Coturnix japonica: one gene and its partner. The protein of the gene in region 1 purifies or fractionates together with the protein of each later gene. This does not show direct contact. Links are inferred from orthologs where the notes say so. Each region holds a gene or a part of one and is shown on either strand. Other genes may lie near its edges.

Region 1 (4,059 bases):
CGCCACCCTTACTCCGATGACTCATTACTTGGCAAATTTTCGTTAATTTGAGGATCAAACATTCAATGCAATGAGAGTAAGGCTGACTGAATTTGGCACTAAGGTTTATTAGCTGCAAGAACTATAAAAAATGGTGGAAACCTCATCGTTCTAGCCAAATTCCAATTTAGGTCATGGCATCGTACACTCATAAAATACCACCTGCAGTTTCATTCGAAGCTTTCACTTCTCCTCCTAAAGAACTGCTTATGCAGTTACAAGAATGGACGACACATTCCTTCACAGAGGCAGATGTATTCTGTGGTGCAATTTTTTTTTTTTCCTTACACGTAAACAGTCTAAAGTTACTTGGGAACCTTCAGGATGAAACGCGTTATAGATTACAGCAGACAAGACACATAACAACACAGTTCATTTTCAACAGCACAGCGCTACCTTCATTGCATTACCTTGCAACCACCGTAACGCATAGTCTCCCAAGAAAAAATAAAATGTTGCAGGATGCATAAATAAAGTTGTATGATTTAATTAACATGTGACCTACCATTTTAACTACCAACACCAGGGATGGAACCCTTGCAAAGCTTTACTAATGGACACTTGCAGGTCTCATTTGTTCAACTGTAGCAGAGTACAGTGGCAGCAGTCTATGCTTGTCCAGGATTCATATCATAGCTAGATTCCAGTAGGAAAAAAATATGTTAAGTAGCTGAAATTAACAAAAAATTTGTATGTAGAAAATTTAATACAAGAAAACAGGTTTCACATATTTCTCTTCAGTTGATAATTGTTAACACAATTCATTGCTATGTTAAACTACATAACAACAATTACTACATAACTGAAAGAATACTGTCACATAGTATTAGTTTCTCAGTTTCAGAACATTAAGAAAGGAAAAAAGTAAATAAGATCTTACCTAAAGAAGTTTAACTGAAGCTTAGAACTAAGTTTGCTCTACTCCCTCAGCCTTCGTTGGCATCCTTATACAACTATTGTAGTTAAAGCTTTGCAGAGATACAGCGCAGCTTTTTAAGACTGGCTGAACTTAGTGACGTTTTCAAGAGTTCTCTTGTACTAGACCTGTGTCCCTGGAAGAGTACCTCGCTGGGGATATTTCCTTTCCTTGCCATTGAAGAAGCAGCATCTAAAAGATCTAAAAAGGTGTTTCTCCTTGCAGAGATACCCCTTAAGTTATCTAGATACTTTAAACCTGATCATTTAAAGACAACATACTTTTTTTTTTCTGACCAGCATTTAATTTTACACGTACAACAATAGCTTTGTATTATTTGTGGGACCTTATACTACCCACTCCTTTCCTTATTTTACAACGTTAAAAAAAAAATCTAAAATTACACAATATTTCCTTTAGAATTATTTTATTAAATCATAAATGTACAACAGCTTCTTAACTCTACACACGCACTTAAATTTTTAAAAGGAAAACGTTATGTCTTATTACACCATGATCCTGGCTAATAGCTTTTCAAAACTTTGAGAAAAATCTTAAAAAAGGTTTCACATGTCACCTGAAACTTACAAATTTAACATTATCAAAGGAATGCTTCTACACTTACAAAGACCACTAAAAAGAAACAACAATTAAAAAGCTAAGAAACTGTCTCAAAGGCATTTTTACAATCCTTCCTCCACAGTAAGGTAATGTTATTAAATAATCCAAATCCATTCACAAAATGGCTCTCTGCATCTGCTCTGGTGTCTTCTGCCATACCACTGCATATTTATGCATGACTGAGATAAGTGTTTCCTTAACATTGTTATTTCCATAACCTGAAGCTGTTCTGTTACCTCTGGGCTCTCATCCTCTCCTATTTATACAGTGAAGCCTGTTTCAACAGAAGTAAAGAGTAAAAAAATAGGTTATGAAATTATTCAGCTAACCATTTTTTATAGGAAAGATAACATCCTAAAAAAACTTTTAACTCCTGCAGCTACTCTCACGAATCACTGCAATTTTAGCACTTAAAAAACATACTTACCCATGGCAAGCTTGCAGAAGCTCAGTAACGGCTTCTCCCTCCATATCCACCACTTCCTCCACTGCCACCGGGACCATAGTTTCCTACAATTACAACAAAGCGAGAAACAGCACTTAAGTCTCTGCCCTTCAACCTCAGAATATTTCTGACTACTCTATCAAAATTAACATCCCGTTCACTTCCAGAGATGGCGCATCCAGCTTTTAACACTTCACTAAGTTCTCTTACTAATGCCTAGGAAGTGCCACAACTACACACTGAAGTCTCAGAAGACTCAAGAAGGGCCACATGTAATTTGATATAACTTTGAGCCTCACTGCAAGGCTTATTTATCTGCAAGCTGAACCTTACAAGAAAGGCTTTCTTGTTTTGGTTTCCATTCCACAAGTTTCATACACCATATTAAATTACATTTCAAAAGCAGAAAATGACAGGAAAAGGTGACATTAGAACAAGAAAGCAATAGGAGAAATCCCAGTAAGTTTAGTGTTTGTTACAAGTTGTAACTCATATACTACACAGAACAAACATGGGTTTTTAACATAGAAGCTAGCAGTTTTTACCTGTCTCTCACCCTCCCACCTCCCTAAAGGACTGAAGCTTGCCCAGTCTCACTCCAAAGGATATCTAGACATACCTCCACCATATGGTCCCCCCATGTTCCTGCTGCCACCAAAATTTCCACTCTTCATTGGACCATAATTGGAAGGCTGCTGGTTGTAGTTTCCAAAGTCATTGTAATTTCCACTTCCATAATTGCCTGAATTATCAATACAAGAATAGACACACCTGGATGAGCTACAGTGTTCACTGAATTCTATTTGTACAATTAAAAAAACAAAATCATACATGTAGTCCAGCAACAGATGAAATCAGCTGCTTTTTCATTCCATTTATAAGATTTATAAGATTTGCTCACTCCAGCACACCCCTCCCAAATTTCATGATTTGTACGAATTTACAACTGAATCTTGATCACTTCAAGCCAGTAAGTTACCTCCTCCATAGTTGTCATAGCCACCTCCATAGCCCCCACCCTGGTTGCCATATCCAGGTCCTCCTCCACCATATCCTCCTCTTCCTCCTCCATAACCAGGGCTGCCACCGAAGTTGCCACCTATGACAATATAATCCTTTAAAATAAACTCTCCAGTGTAGAAGGTAACCAAGTTCTACACAGGATATTTCTCGCTAGAAAAGTCTACAAGGGAAGGGAAAGAGTAGTTTTCAGAAGATACACATCCAACTCCCATCCAACTGAACTGTGACCAAAACCCACTACCCAGACTGCCTAAAAGCATCGATTCTAAAGAGGGCTATGGCTTTTCAAGACATAATCATACAATTTCCCACATCAGCTATAATGTGAGCCAATAGTTTTAAATGTTTCTTAAAGCCAATGAAATACCTATAGCACTTTGAAAGCTTTACACGAACAGTAAATGAACGTATAAACAGTTCTAAGTGAGAGGAAGAAAAGTAAAAATATAAACAGAAGCAAACTTACCTCCAGGCCCTCCGCCGTATCCATTATACCCATCACCAAACCCACGGCCACTCCCATACCCATCTGTTGGAGGAAAAAACATACATGCATTTCAATTCACCTGAAGCAAACTAATTTTTATCTAAACCATACGACCTTAAGATGCAAATCTCACAGACTGATAAAGTACACAAACTTGAATTTGGATAGAATGTACATGAAAAAAAAACATTGATCTATGATTCCTTTACACCACCTACTTTCCTGCATTTGTAAAGTACTGGGTTAGTTTTGAATGTAGCTAACCCGGTTTGCTTGTATGTAATTCAGATGTTCAAGAAAGAAACCCCTCACTGCAGAGCTCCTGAGCTCTGCACCTAACTACAGAGAAGCAGTAGGTGAATTTCTCACCAAAATCAATTTCAGCTCGTAACAGAATCTTTTAAATATTAAACCACTTAAGTTTTCTGAACTGCTACCTCATTGATTTGTGTACTATGCAAAAGGTTCGCAAGTTATCTTTCCCAAAAATTCTTTAGCTCTTACAGATGCATTTCAATTCAATAGTAG
Region 2 (4,800 bases), on another chromosome or scaffold:
GAGAAGCATGTCAAACCTAACAGGAAGCTACTGCCATTTCTTTATTTCTTGACAAAGACGTCAGAAACATGAAACTGACAACAGAACCTCTATCATTAGATAAACATACCACCGTCATATCCACCACCTCCTCGACGCATTCTGTCATACATACTTCCACGCCCAGCTCCATAATAACCCCCTCTTCCTCCTAATGGTCTATCATAGGGTCCAGGTCGCTGCTGTCCCATCATCCTTCTCGGCATGTCAGAGAATCCTCTGATTTCGCTCTTACTACTTTTGAAGATTTCAATGTATCTAAACAAGAGAGGAGTTTCAAGGTAGAAATAAGAATGCACGTATAAGCTGTGTGAACAGTAGAAAAAAATAACTAAACGTACGATGTGATGAAAATGACTACAGATACCACAGAACTTAAGTTCCTCCTCAAAACCGTTAAGAATCTTTAAGTGTATCAAAGTAAAACTTTACAATGGCAGAAGTTACAACGTGAAAATTCTAGTTCCAGAAATTAAAATATAAAAACATGTCTTTCCAGTATGAGAAACATACTGTTGAAAAACAATGTCTGGCTATGGCAGCACTTAGCACAAATTCCCCTACACGAAAAACGACTGCAACAACATTCTAAGTTTAGCAATCTACACAGAGTAATACTGTCTCCCCCACCCCCCACATCTACCATATTTCCCAATTTAGGATCAGTTATAACAATTCTTTTAAAATACCCCATTCCATATAATAGTCCCCAGCCCCCCAAAAGCATTACTGTCCCACAACCCCCAAAAATAACCATTTAACACCATCCCAAACTCTCCATCCCCACCTGTGCCCTATTCTTTCCTTGTGTTTCCCCAGAGCATTTTCTGCTATCTCCTTTGAAGCAAACTGCACGAAGGCCTCCCCTGTGCTTCTCCCCTGGTAGTCCAGCGTCAATGTTATCCCATTTGGCACGATTTCCAACCCTTTAACCCAAGGACAAATAACCCCATCAAGGGGAACAGTGTTAAAGGCTGAAACATTCCCATCTGTAGAAAATACTTAAAGCATCTAAACAATAACAACGAAAAAAAAAACTCTTCAGTTCCCCCATCACCCAACAATACAAGCCCACGATCTTTCATTACACATTTATGGATTTAGCCATACTTGTTTTGCTTTAACTATGTGCACATACACCCACCTAGGTTACACGAAGAAAACAAAGCTACCGATCAAGCAATTTAACCGCTCCAATGGCTAACGTACAGATTATAGTCATAATGCATTCACCACCTCGACTAAATTAAGACATGTATTCAACTTTACTACGTCTACAGTCATTTGAACAGGGCATACACCTCACTTAAGGCGATTCGCGTTAAAACCATCCCCCCTCCACCCCGCTAATGGGCATCACCAGTTACAGGCTCGCAAAGCATCGACTTATCTTTTACGGTCTTTATGCTTTGACTCTACTAGAGATACCTTGGAAAAACTGAACGATCTCCTCCTTGCTACAGCCGAAGGGCAGCCCGCGGAGCCGCACCACCGTCCCATCGTTGGTCGTATCGGTGGGCCCGTTGTGCTTTCCGCTCCAGTCCATTTTTGCCTAAATCAAACGCTTCCAAAAGGAAAAAAAAAAAGAAGGAAATGTTGAGATCCCACGATTCCGCACACGCTCAAATCCCCCCTTCCTTTAAATAAAAAAAAAAAAAGAACAAACAAATACGCAACGCATGAGGCAGTTTTTAATTAGCGAAGCGGTGCCGTTGTGGCTATTGAGTTCCCTGGCGAGGTTTCAGCCCCACTCGCTGCTGTCTATGGCACGTGGGCGCAGCGCGCACCCGGCCCGTCCCTTTTGTCCATGGCGGTGCCGGCACAAGGGCCGCCCGGCACGCACCGCCCGTCCTTTGTCTGCCATCCCGGCCCGTCCTGGCTGCGGCTGCTCGGCTCCTTCAGAGATCCCGGCCGTTAACCCGCAGCCAACGCGGACACACACACACACACGGCGCCGCACCGTCACCAGCGCTCGGAGGGGGGAGGGGAGCTCCCTCCCGCTCCGCCGCCATTTACCGCCGCCCCGAGCCGGGCCCCAATCCCGACACCAGCCCCACCACGCGCCCCACCACCACCGCCAGCAGCAGCAGCACAGCAGCAGCAGCACCTCCTCTGTGCTTCGAACAGCCGAGCTCCGTCCGGCCCAGCCCCGGTGTGGGGGCTCGGCACGCCGCTGATCCCGCCGGCGGTACAGCCGCGCTGTGCTCCGCACTCAAAATGGCGGCCGCTCATAACGAGGCTCCTCCAGCCGCCCCGCCCCTCCCCCGCCATGCCGCCCCCCCACGGCCCGCACCGCGCTCAAGGCCGCGCTGCCCCGAGCTGCCTCGGCGCCCAGCAGCGGGCAGCCCGCGACGGCACAGCCGTGCCCTGCCTTTATTAACACCCTCCCCCCCCGCTTACCAGGAGACCTTCGTACGGCCCTACACGCGTCCCGGCGGGAGCCGCTGCCCGAGGGAAGCCGCTCGCTCGCAGGCGGCCAGCGGGCAGCAGCCAACACAACCGCCGCGCAGGATGGCGCCCCGACCCGCGGCTATCGCGATAGCGGCGACACACGGCTCGGCCCGACCGGACGGCGGCGGAGCATGCGCAGCTCTGCCAACAAGGGACGGCGGCGCGTGCGCGGAGAGCGGGCGGCGCCTCCTCCCTCTTGTCACGTGGGCGGGGCAGCAGCGCTTCGGGCGCGCGCTGTGTTCGCGCGCTGCGGCTGTTGGCGCCAAAGCTGCAGCGCCGCCATTCACCACACAGACACCATCCTCCTCACACAGACACCATCCTCACACAGCCGCCATTCCTTCTCCTCACACAGCCGCCATTCTTTCTCCTCACACACCCGCAGCGCTCGGTGTCCCGTCGGGCGCTGCTCCGTTCAGCTCCCGGCTCAGGAAGGGAGATGGGAAAGCTGTGCTGCTCGCTTCCCCTCCGTTGTCCAGCTGCAAGTTTAACATCGACCTGCAGAGTCTCAGCAGCTCCCGCCTGCGGAATGGCCCGTTGTGGCGCCGAGGAGCTGGGTCGGAGGATGGAGCTGTACCCGGTACCGGCTCCGGGGCCTCGGCAGGAGGATGGAGCCCCGCGTGCTCGGAAGTGACGAGCGGGCTCCTCCTGCCGCTGTGGGAGCATAAGTGGGGCTGTACTGAGGCAGGGCGCCATAGGGAGCACAGGGCAAAGGCCGGGGAGCGCCGCGGCGATGCAGGTCCCGGTTTTCACGGTTGACGCCTTTACAAAGCGGCCGTTCTGTGGAAACCCCGCGGCAGTTTGTCTGCTCGACAATGTAAGTGTGAAAAAGAAACGAACAGGACTTTAACCAGGTGTTCGCCGTGCTTGAGCCGAGCTCTGCGGAGCGAGGTTGCCTCGGGCTGCTGCCTCCAGGCACGGGCAGTTATAACGGGTTCTCCTTATCGTTTGCCTTTCGAATGAGGTGGGGTTTTTCTGTTTGTTTCCTGTGGAAGAGAAGGGAGACACGTCAGTCCTGTGTCTGAGTCACTGTGCGTCCTGTGACAGGCAGCTCTTACCGCAGGTTGCACGGTGCGGTGCATTCAAATGCAGTCACTCATGTGAAGGTGCTCTGAGAAGTTGGTGCTAATTCATTCACTACCCCCCAGAACCTGTTATTAGACCAGGTTAGAAACGTGCGTGCCTGGTCTTATTTGTGTGGTATTGCTTGATGAAAACTTTCAGAATGGGAATGTAAATGGAGCGGTCTGTCAGTCACACTGACCCTCTGAATCCTGCCCAGCTCTTCCTGATCCCCAGCAGATCTCATACCATATAGCACGCTTACAAAGGCAGCAAAGCTGGCGCAGAACATCTCACTTCAGAGCTGCTTTTGGCTATCTACAATCTGAACACTCTCTCTGAATGCACTTTAAACTTGTAGACTTCTAATTGTGATTCTATGTTAGTTTTACCTGACCATGTTAATACGTTCAGAAGGTGATTTCTGTGTTGCCTACGGCATGTTGAGGCTTTAACATTTCCTCTACAGGCTTCAGGGTCACCAAAGCTGAAGTTCTAATTAATTTTATTCTCAGCTCCAAGAACATATGGAGCAGTGAGCACTGCTTCTGTCCTCTGTTCCTTTCCAAGCCTCACCAGCTGCTTTATAACAACTGCAGTACAGCAGAAATGGTGATGCAAACCCTTCCCGAGCTTCAGTAGTGCCACATGATGGCAGTATTTCAATAAAATTCTATTCTTTTCAGCAAAATGTTGGCTGGGCTTTGTTCTGGTTTGGTATTTTTGTAGCAATGCTTTTCTGGTGTAAAGGACAGACTGTAAAAGGTCAGAATGTTGTCTCATTGTATGGATTTCAGCAGGATTGGTCTGCTATGCCTGTCGCTAACTGTTCTGTATCAATAGCGCTGGATCGTTGGTTCAAAGGATTAAGGTTATTAAGGGAAAAAAGTCAAGCTAGCAGGGCAAAGTTCACTCTGTCCCAGGTTGAATTTGACCGGGTCCACTTAGTACATTTCCATTTGTACGTTAGTGTTTTATAGACCAGACTCTTGAACCTGGCCAGTCTGTGTGACTGTGGGGAAAGGAACAAGAGTGAAGTAACAGCTTGTCCTGCCGCTACACCTCATGTGTCCTCCCAGCGGTGCAGTGAGCTGCAGCACATTTCTTCCTTCAGTTCAGTTTCTCATTCCTACTTTTACTGACTTAGCATGTTGCCCCTGTTGCTCAATGAGTAACCTTGAGGGTACAGCAGTAAGTGCTGATAAACTACCATGGCCATTGCCCTGGCTGTTGCAGCATTCCGCCTGT

Evidence for each region. Proteins that work in one complex are often made in the same cells at the same time.
Region 2: the proteins of HNRNPA2B1 (region 1) and HNRNPH3 fractionate together in Homo sapiens (co-fractionation; 3 studies listed by BioGRID and IntAct, with this or other methods). This does not show direct contact. The link is inferred for Coturnix japonica from reciprocal best matches to the Homo sapiens genes HNRNPA2B1 and HNRNPH3.

Annotation. Positions count from the first base shown.
Region 1 is NC_029517.1:29,444,497-29,448,555, forward strand, and holds part of HNRNPA2B1 (heterogeneous nuclear ribonucleoproteins A2/B1), read right to left. Parts: intron 3,574-4,059; coding exon 3,511-3,573; intron 3,121-3,510; coding exon 3,001-3,120; intron 2,764-3,000; coding exon 2,641-2,763; intron 2,087-2,640; coding exon 2,025-2,086; 3' UTR 2,004-2,024; intron 1,851-2,003; exon of another isoform or gene 920-1,850; intron 676-919; exon of another isoform or gene 285-675; intron 1-284. UniProt on the Homo sapiens protein: Heterogeneous nuclear ribonucleoprotein (hnRNP) that associates with nascent pre-mRNAs, packaging them into hnRNP particles.
Region 2 is NC_029521.1:8,605,758-8,610,557, reverse strand, and holds the start of HNRNPH3 (heterogeneous nuclear ribonucleoprotein H3), read right to left. Parts: upstream 2,985-4,800; 5' UTR 2,870-2,984; intron 2,638-2,869; exon of another isoform or gene 2,440-2,637; intron 2,277-2,439; exon of another isoform or gene 2,147-2,276; intron 1,604-2,146; 5' UTR 1,586-1,603; coding exon 1,468-1,585; intron 966-1,467; coding exon 827-965; intron 298-826; coding exon 110-297; intron 1-109. Other genes in the region: PBLD (phenazine biosynthesis-like domain-containing protein), read left to right, coding at 3,224-3,307.